2 linked regions of the Arabidopsis thaliana genome follow. The protein of the gene in region 1 interacts with the protein of each later gene in a pairwise test. Each region holds a gene or a part of one and is shown on either strand. Other genes may lie near its edges.

Region 1 (4,647 bases):
GGGCACAATTCTCGTTCATGTGGTAAGAGAGCTCTTCAGGTTAGTCTCTTTTCATCTTGAGTTCAGTAATGTTACACTGTTGCTGTGGTGGTGTCTTCTTGCTGGTAAATGGTTGTGTTTTCAGGCTTGTGTTAGTAGTGGATTGCTAAAGAAAGCAACTCAATCTCAGCGAAATACTCAACAAGTAGAAGATTAGAAGCAAGTGTGTGGATTGTTTCCTTTGGCTTCTTAGTAGGGTTTTTGTTGCCTTCTTAATAATTTTTGTGGCTCATAGTTTAGTGGTGTTTTGCACTAAAGATAGGTTAAGGTTTTGGTGATAAGTATCTGTTAGAAGCAGAACTCTCGCGTCGATCTATGATACTTATAAGTTCCAATGTTGAATTAACACATTGTCTTACTAGTTTTTGGATTCAATTTACAACATTCTTAAAGCTTTGATTCAAATGATATCAAGCAACCTGAGTGATCATTGTTATATCTCCATCTCCTCATGCAAGCGCTTATCCAGAGTTAGCTTAGTCGTAACGTAAAATTTCATTCGCATGTAGCATCAATGTTGGTTTCTAATCAACAAGTTAGCTCACGCTTGATCACCCAAACGCAAAGTAGTTGTGTCCATAGTTGTATATGTTGTGTATCGAATAAGATGGTTTTATACATCACCACGGTCTATTATGATCATCATTGGAATCTATACACAGTTCAATACTAACAATCAACAGAAAAATATTTCTTATAACTTTTGCATTGATCAAGGAACTCAGTTCTAGAGCACACGAGATGTAAAAATCTACCGGAGAAGTCACTAAAAAGTAGTTCAACATTTCAGAATAGTTTACAGTTCCAGGCGATAAATAAACCAAGCCCTGGTAAAAAGTGGACAAGACAAGACCTCACTGTTCTTGTCAATAACCAGGGTGAAATTAGTCCAAATTTCAATCCCTGTAAGGCTGTAACTCAAGAAATCTCTAATCTGCTTTTACAAGGACAAGCAGATTCTAAGTAAAGACAACAACATGCGAAAAGCAAACATATCCGCTTTTCGCTGGTCGATCAGATCTATAGACGCCTTTCGGGTTAGTAGCAACGAACCCTTTCTCGCTATTTCACTGACCGACTCTTTTCACTAGCCTCATGTGCCAAAGAGTTGCAACCTTCGTCTTTCCAGCTCAAGCTGCGATAAAAGCAAAATTGCATTACTATCACACCCAAGGCTTGATCAACGTTACACGATTGAATGCAAATGACTAATATAACACCAGAGGCTTAATTGGCATTACACAATGAACTGAAAGTGACGCTTACCACTTTCTTGACTCGGTTGTTGGCAGCATCAGTTCCTCCAAAGACACAATCTGAAAGATACGGGCTACGAACGCGTACCTCTTTCATCACCAGAATGTCTGAGTTTTCCCATTGCACAGGAAGCCTAAAAGGAAAATAATTCACATGTGATTCATTCGAAAGAGAAAAAGCAAATTCAAACAAAGAAAGTTTAAGGATTTATGTAGTCTAAAACTATGTATCTAGACAGCTTCTTAACTGTATCAGTATCACAAAGAAGACTAAAGATACTTGACACTAGAGCCCACAACATATGTAATCTACAACAACCACAAACATAGAAACTTTACATATATATAGTTGCAAACTAGCATCACCGGAAACCAAGAGCAAAACAACACTAAATCATGTCCAGATCCTAACAATTTATCTTTGGGAATAACACATTAGACGCACAAAACAAAATCCTCCAACCCAAGCAATTGTTTACAAAGAACTAATAGTTCAACTAAACAACATTAGATTACGATCTCGTCCCACCTCTCTACCGTATACTCTAAGCTGTGTTTCCTTCTTAGAGATTAGCTTATTTTTCGATCCGAAAACGTATAAAAAGAGAAGATCCTTACGTCTTAGACAACGCGTCGAAGATGCTCTGAGCCTCAGCGGTAACACCAACTCCCATTCTTTCAGCATCTGCTTCCGCTTGCCTGTGCTCAATACGTTTTCCCAAGTAAGCTCAAAACAAGCAAATAGCAATAAAAATTGCATTTTGAAAGGATTCAACAACAAAATATCTTATCACCTGATAGCAAGTGCCTCTTTAGCTCGGAGACCATTAAGATCAACAGAAAAGTTGTCTGAATCAAGTGGATCTTCAGTTTTGCCTAAATACGAAAGCCCTGTAATAAAACTCGCATTCACCATCCGAGTGTTCTTCAAATGCCCAGGTCTAGGTTTTGTACCCTCTTGTAATAACCAATAACTCGTCAAGGATAACACAATTCAGGTCAAGACATTGAAAATACCTAAATCTCAAATTTTGATGAAACAAACAATTAAAGAAATTAAGGATATCAAAAAAGACGAAGTTGGGGATGGGGTCGTAAGCCATGACGATCCCTCTGAACTCATCTCCGGTGATCACCTTCACTGAATAAATATTCCCCACCGCGAATTTCTCTCCTTCTCCTCCGATTGCGCTGGCCACCGATGCTCCTGCTGGATCCATGGCGGCCGTCCTCGCTCCTCCTCCGTCTTCTGAAATCGCCGAACTTCGGAAAAATTAAAACTATATATATCGCAATATGGGCCTTAAGCCCAAATAGCTACTGGCTTATAACAGTTTCCTCATTTTTATATCAGTATATGGGCCATAAGGGCCCAATAACTACTGAGCTTCATGATTAGTTCAAAACGCGGCGTTTTAAAGATTAGTGTATGACTGTTACTTTATCCATTTTATTTCGTTATAAACAGATTAGCGAACACTGAACCACAATCAAATCGGAGAAAATCGTGTGTGTGTGTGTCAATGGCGGCTTTAAGCATCTCACTAGCTTTCTCTGTTGATTCTCTCAAACCAACCCAATCAACGAAGTTTGGCTTCTCGTCTTCTTCACATAGATATCCATTACTCTACTCGTGTAAATCTCACCGCTCCAATCTCAGATTCGCTTTCCCTCCTTCTTCAGTTTCGACAGCTACAGAAACTGGAGAAGAAAACTCTAAATCGACCGGGAATTACGCGTTTCTAGAGGAATCGTTTCGTACCGGGAGGTTTTTGAGTAACGATGAGTTAGAGAAGCTTAAAACTCTTGAAGGATTTGCGTATTTTCAAGAGCTTGAATCTGGATCGATGTGGGTTCGAGTTATGAGACATGAAGAGATGGATTCAACGGTGCATCTATTGGCTGAGTCATTTGGTGAATCGATGTTATTACCTTCTGGTTATCAGTCTGTGTTACGGTTTTTGATTAAGCAGTATTTGATTGAGAGAAGAGAAGTGTTGCCACACGCAGTTACTTTAGTTGGTTTCTTTAGGAAAAAAGTTGATGAGTTTAGTGATGATGGAGAGGAGGAGGCTGTGATGGCTGGAACTGTTGAGGTTTGTTTGGAGAAACGAGGCGCTAATGCTTCTCCTCCTTCTCCAACTCCTCCTAAGGAATCACCTTATATCTGTAACATGACTGTCAAAGAGGATCTTAGAAGGAGAGGAATTGGGTGGCATTTGTTGAAGGCGAGTGAGGAACTGATATCTCAGATTAGTCCATCAAAAGATGTATACTTGCATTGTAGGATGGTTGATGAGGCTCCTTTCAATATGTACAAGAAGGCAGGATACGAGGTTGTTAAGACAGATACAGTTTTGGTCCTTCTGATGTTACAGCGGCGTAAGCATTTGATGCGGAAGAAACTTCTTCCACTATGCACCAATCCTATAGTAGAAATGGTGGGGTCTGATAATGAGCTGACCTCCTCTGCAAATGTGTAAACATGGGTACAGTTTTTCCATCAGTGTACCAATTAGCTTTTAGTCTTCTTCTCAACCTTTTCTGAATTTATAACAAACATTGTGATTGGCTTTATTATGTAGGAGCTAAATGTGACATGACCAAGGGTCGGGTTGATAATCCCGTTTGCTTCGACCTATTGTTTATATGATCTTAGTAGAGGTACTCCACACACACTCTTATCTTTGTTATCTGCTTCCTGTATTGGCAGCGATTGTATTTCTTGTTCATAGACATGTGGTTAATTCTTTAGGCATTAGGCGAAAGAAGGAAAGAAAAAACAAGACTACACCCCTGAATTTATGTACTCATTTCTCTTAAAGCAAAACATTCATAGCAGCAAATACAACATACTATACGGATACATCTAGTGCTTGATTTTCTTAGTGAAATTATAGTATATATATCCAAATAATATCGCTTGATCAAAGTTTCCTAGCTGGAAGTTGAATTGAAATTATCCGGTAATTCATAATTAGTATTGTTTGTTTATATTTATCAAGTGTTTTTTTATCAGTGACCTCTCATTTTAGGAAAAATGACAGTAATCCATTTTACTTGTTTCGAAGAATTCAGTGTCTAGAGCCTTCTGAATGTAGGAATCGTCCCACCCAAACCACCCTTCGAGTTTGTGTAGATAATTAGTTGCAGTTCCTTAACACAATCCATCACTGAAGGTCGCTCTTTACTCTCTATACGGATGCACCGTGATGCTAGATCAGCAAACATGGTTATAGCTTCCATGCTGTATGAATTCCGAGGCAGCTCGACATCTATAACCTTACGCAATTTCTTTCTATCATTCAGTATATTCCTAACCTGAAACGTAGAGATAATTGATCAGTTTATT
Region 2 (3,927 bases), on another chromosome or scaffold:
TCAAGCCTCACCCAAAATGGCTTTTCCTAGTTGTGTTTCGGTTGCAATCACGGCTATGATGCTACTTGTAACATGTTGTCATTGTGCAACATACCAAGAACAATTCATGGGTCCACAAAACGCAGCAAGAGCTCATTTAAGGCTCAAACCGCTAAAGTGGGACGCCAAATTGGCCCGTTACGCGCAATGGTGGGCTAACCAGAGACGCGGTGACTGCGCCTTGACCCATTCCAATGGACCCTATGGTGAGAATCTCTTTTGGGGCTCAGGCAATAGATGGGGTCCATCTCAAGCCGCCTATGGATGGTTGTCTGAAGCAAGGAGCTATAACTATAGATCTAACTCGTGCAACTCCGAGATGTGTGGCCATTACACACAAATCGTGTGGAAGAACACACAAAAGATTGGTTGCGCTCACGTGATCTGCAATGGCGGAGGAGGCGTATTCTTGACTTGCAATTATGATCCACCGGGGAATTTTCTTGGTAGGAAGCCTTATTGAGTATGATTTTATTTGTATATCTAAAAAAACTCATGCTAAAAGAGGTTGTTCTTACGTTTTAACTTTTTCTCTTTTTGTATACAATGTTATTTTTTATTGGTAACGTGAGATCGGGAAAACAACACAACGTATGTTTCTCCCAACATTTTCTTATGTGTGATTTATGCGAGGGCCTTCTTTTGACTAATAAGACCAACGAATCATATTAATATCAGATTTTGGATCGTAATCTAACCAAATAGACAAATATTAGACATTTCTACAATCTTCTTGGATTTGAGGTCTTTTTTGATGAAACTATTTTCTCATAATTTTGTTTGCAAAGTTGAAATTTCTCAAGTTGACAGAAGTAAACAGCAAAAAGACAACTTTTACCCAACAGAGAAACGAGAGGGGAGCAGGAACTCTTAAACCATTCCATATAATTAGATCATTCCTTGCACTGCAACAGACATCACTTGCCCCTGTAATAAGATATATAAGGGATTGAGTTTGTATCTCAACATTCATGGAGAGACGAATTGAGAGATATGGGAAAGAAAGGATCTGAAGAGGATAATAATGATACTTACGCGTTCATCATGAGAGTTATGTTGTCTCCTTTAAGCAAAATCCGACCTGAAAATCCAGTATTTGCGAGAGTTAGCACCAAAAACAAAACCAATATAAGAAATGTGAAAGGAGTCTTGTAGGAGAGTAGCAAGTAACTCACCAAGTGGTTTTCTGGTTTTCTTCTTGATGCTCACTTCCTCTGCCTCATCCAGCACCAAATTCATGTACTCATCAAAACCCTGCACAATGCAAATGTTAAAATAACGAAACAATGAAACACTCAACGTCAACTAAACAACTCGTGGTTAAAGATCTAAGACAACCAAGACATTGATAAATCTTAAGCTTCACAGAAAAGAACAAACTCTGTTATTATCTCAAGAAAGAAATTCTAGCAATACAATCTCAGTCTTAAATCTAGATAATACGCACCAACCGAAATAACCGAACTCATTGCTATCAATTGGTCCCTTACTATCAAACAATGTATATAAACTCAACGGTAACTAAATCAGCGTAGCAATCAAAATTCGAACAACAAATAGAAACAGCATTATGAAAAATTCCAAGATGTTACACTTCACTTTAAAAGTGTAGCTAGAATCACACAGCTTAACTAACACAAGCATGTCAAATTTTCTAGTTTAACCTATCAACAAAGCAAGAAAGTTCAAAATTTTGTGCTAAGCTCGAAACAGGATTATGACTTACAGTAATTCGTCCCTCAATCCTCAAATCTTTCTGCTCAAAAAGCCAAATCTGAATCCGAGCTTTCTACATTATAAGAAGAACCACACTATATATATAAGTACACACCTCTCACAAACTCAATGGTGTTCCCAAATAGAGTAAAAGTGACGAAAATTAACAGAGTAATCGAAAAACTTACACTTTGGAGAAATCTGAAAATCAGATTCTGAAATCAAAAGTAAGAAGAACAGTGAGCTAAACAGAAACAATAAAAAAAAAAAAAGATCGAATTAGTAAACAGAAATCGAGGAATGTACAATGGGTTGAGTCATAATCCTCTGAACTTTGGTGCTCGCCATAATTGCCTGAAGTTGCAAGTGTTCTTCGGAGCTGGAAAACTCAGTGAAGAAGATAGATTTTCTAAAACCCTAAAACTTGCAATTTCTAATTCGATTTTTCTCTCTTCCTCGCGAGACAGAACAAATATTTCACACTTTTCGACTTCTCAAATATATGTTTTACTCTTCCCATCCTCGAAAATCTGCTATTTTCATTTTTCTCCCCACAAAAACATTATTTAACTTTTTAGACCCATTACTACTATCTCCAAAACACTGAAAAACGACTTAAGAAACAGAGTTTAAAGACAGCAAAATCATGTTTACAAGATTTCAAGGTCTACCTGAAGATGATTGCTTATATCTTAATTGTATATTAATGACTATTGAATAAATAACCATCTTTTTTTGATAAAATACACAAAGTTAAATGCTTCACTAGCACAACAACAGCCGTAGCAAAAGCTCAACATAGATCACTATTTTGACTAATTGATGGAACAGAAATACATAAAGAATCATGCTTTTTTAATCCTTTTACAACTTCTTGAAAAGAGTTTCCTCGATCATTCGCCATTGATCATTAACGATTGAAAAGGAACCTTTTTTATCTCTACAAAAGTCGAATAATCACTCTTCATCGGTTGTTTCCATGGTTCACCATCCATTTGCAAGAATGCATTTTTCCAATCACCTCCTCTTAGTTCAAATCTAATCGCAGCCGCCTAAAACGATAAACGGTTTAATATCAAACCGAGGTTAAACCGATTCTTATAAAGAAACTTTGGATGTATTTTGTTGTACCTGAGCAATGTGCTTAGCTGAGATAATTTCAGCCATTACAAATGACGCATGCCAACCTTGCTTTAAACCGAAGATCTCTATCAGTCCGTCATCACAATGCGCCTCCACAAATCCTCTCTGTTATAAAACCCGAACACGTTCTGTTAAAGCTTGTAGAGAAAGCAATAAAACCTAAGATTAGTGTACTGAATAAAACATTATTACCTTCTCTAAATATTTTGGTCTGAGATTACCCCATGGATGTCTTCCACTTCCATAGTTATAAAGATTCAACACCACAATAGATCTTACGCTACACCAAAACAAAACCAGAGAGATTATAAGTGAAGCCATTTTTTTAGTTTTAATCAAAGATAAGATTAGTTTTATATGAACCTCTTAGGAACATGGATCTCTTCCCACTCGGAACAATTTGCCTTTTTAATATGGATTTTCATAATGTTTCTTAGTCCCCTGCAAATTCATCTTACCACAACATGTCAACACAACAAGAGACAGGAATTGAGTAAAGAAAAGGCTTTTGGTTTACTCTCTTCACAGAAAATGCTAACCTTAAAGCTGGATTGTTGACACAAGGCGTGCAAAACCAACCTTGAGTACAACTGTAACTCGAATAGATAATCTGCAAAACCGAAACGAGTGTGATTCATAATCTCATTACAAACCAAAAAAACAGCTAATTAATGAAACTTAGACAAGAATGAAGATTCTGATATATAGCAACCTTATTTGTAACAGGGCCTTGAGCTAGATACGGTTTCTCATTGCGAAGATGGTGGAACCCATATGCAACTTGAGCATCCATACCTAAACAACACAAGAAAATACCAAATTACTTCAAAAGGTTTAACTTTGTAGAAATTTATTAAGAACAATGAAAGATAAAGTTACTTCATGTATCCAAATTCCAAACCTATGCTGAAGTAGTTGTAGAACACTCCTTCATAAGACTTTGCTTTAGGAGGTACATCTCCATCAGCATCCAAAGCCTGATCAAGTGCAGTTTCCTCTATTGTAGGCTTCAAAGAATAAGGAGGATCA

What was found.
Region 2: the proteins of AT1G24050 (region 1) and AT4G30330 interact in a two-hybrid assay, tested with the Arabidopsis thaliana proteins (one large-scale study listed by BioGRID).

The regions. Positions count from the first base shown.
Region 1 is NC_003070.9:8,504,925-8,509,571, reverse strand, and holds AT1G24050 (RNA-processing, Lsm domain-containing protein), read right to left. Parts: upstream 2,605-4,647; 5' UTR 2,516-2,604; coding exon 2,362-2,515; intron 2,256-2,361; coding exon 2,090-2,255; intron 1,995-2,089; coding exon 1,914-1,994; intron 1,430-1,913; coding exon 1,306-1,429; intron 1,175-1,305; coding exon 1,133-1,174; 3' UTR 663-1,132; downstream 1-662. Other genes in the region: AT1G24040 (Acyl-CoA N-acyltransferases (NAT) superfamily protein), read left to right, coding at 2,819-3,778; AT1G24030 (Protein kinase superfamily protein), read right to left, coding at 4,377-4,616.
Region 2 is NC_003075.7:14,835,817-14,839,743, forward strand, and holds AT4G30330 (Small nuclear ribonucleoprotein family protein), read right to left. Parts: upstream 2,334-3,927; 5' UTR 2,104-2,333; coding exon 2,062-2,103; intron 1,971-2,061; coding exon 1,944-1,970; intron 1,829-1,943; coding exon 1,766-1,828; intron 1,294-1,765; coding exon 1,215-1,293; intron 1,121-1,214; coding exon 1,075-1,120; intron 967-1,074; coding exon 957-966; 3' UTR 732-956; downstream 1-731. Other genes in the region: AT4G30320 (CAP (Cysteine-rich secretory proteins, Antigen 5, and Pathogenesis-related 1 protein) superfamily protein), read left to right, coding at 17-502; DGK7 (diacylglycerol kinase 7), read right to left, coding at 2,649-2,807, 2,887-3,003, 3,091-3,178, 3,262-3,339, 3,438-3,508, 3,611-3,693, 3,800-3,927.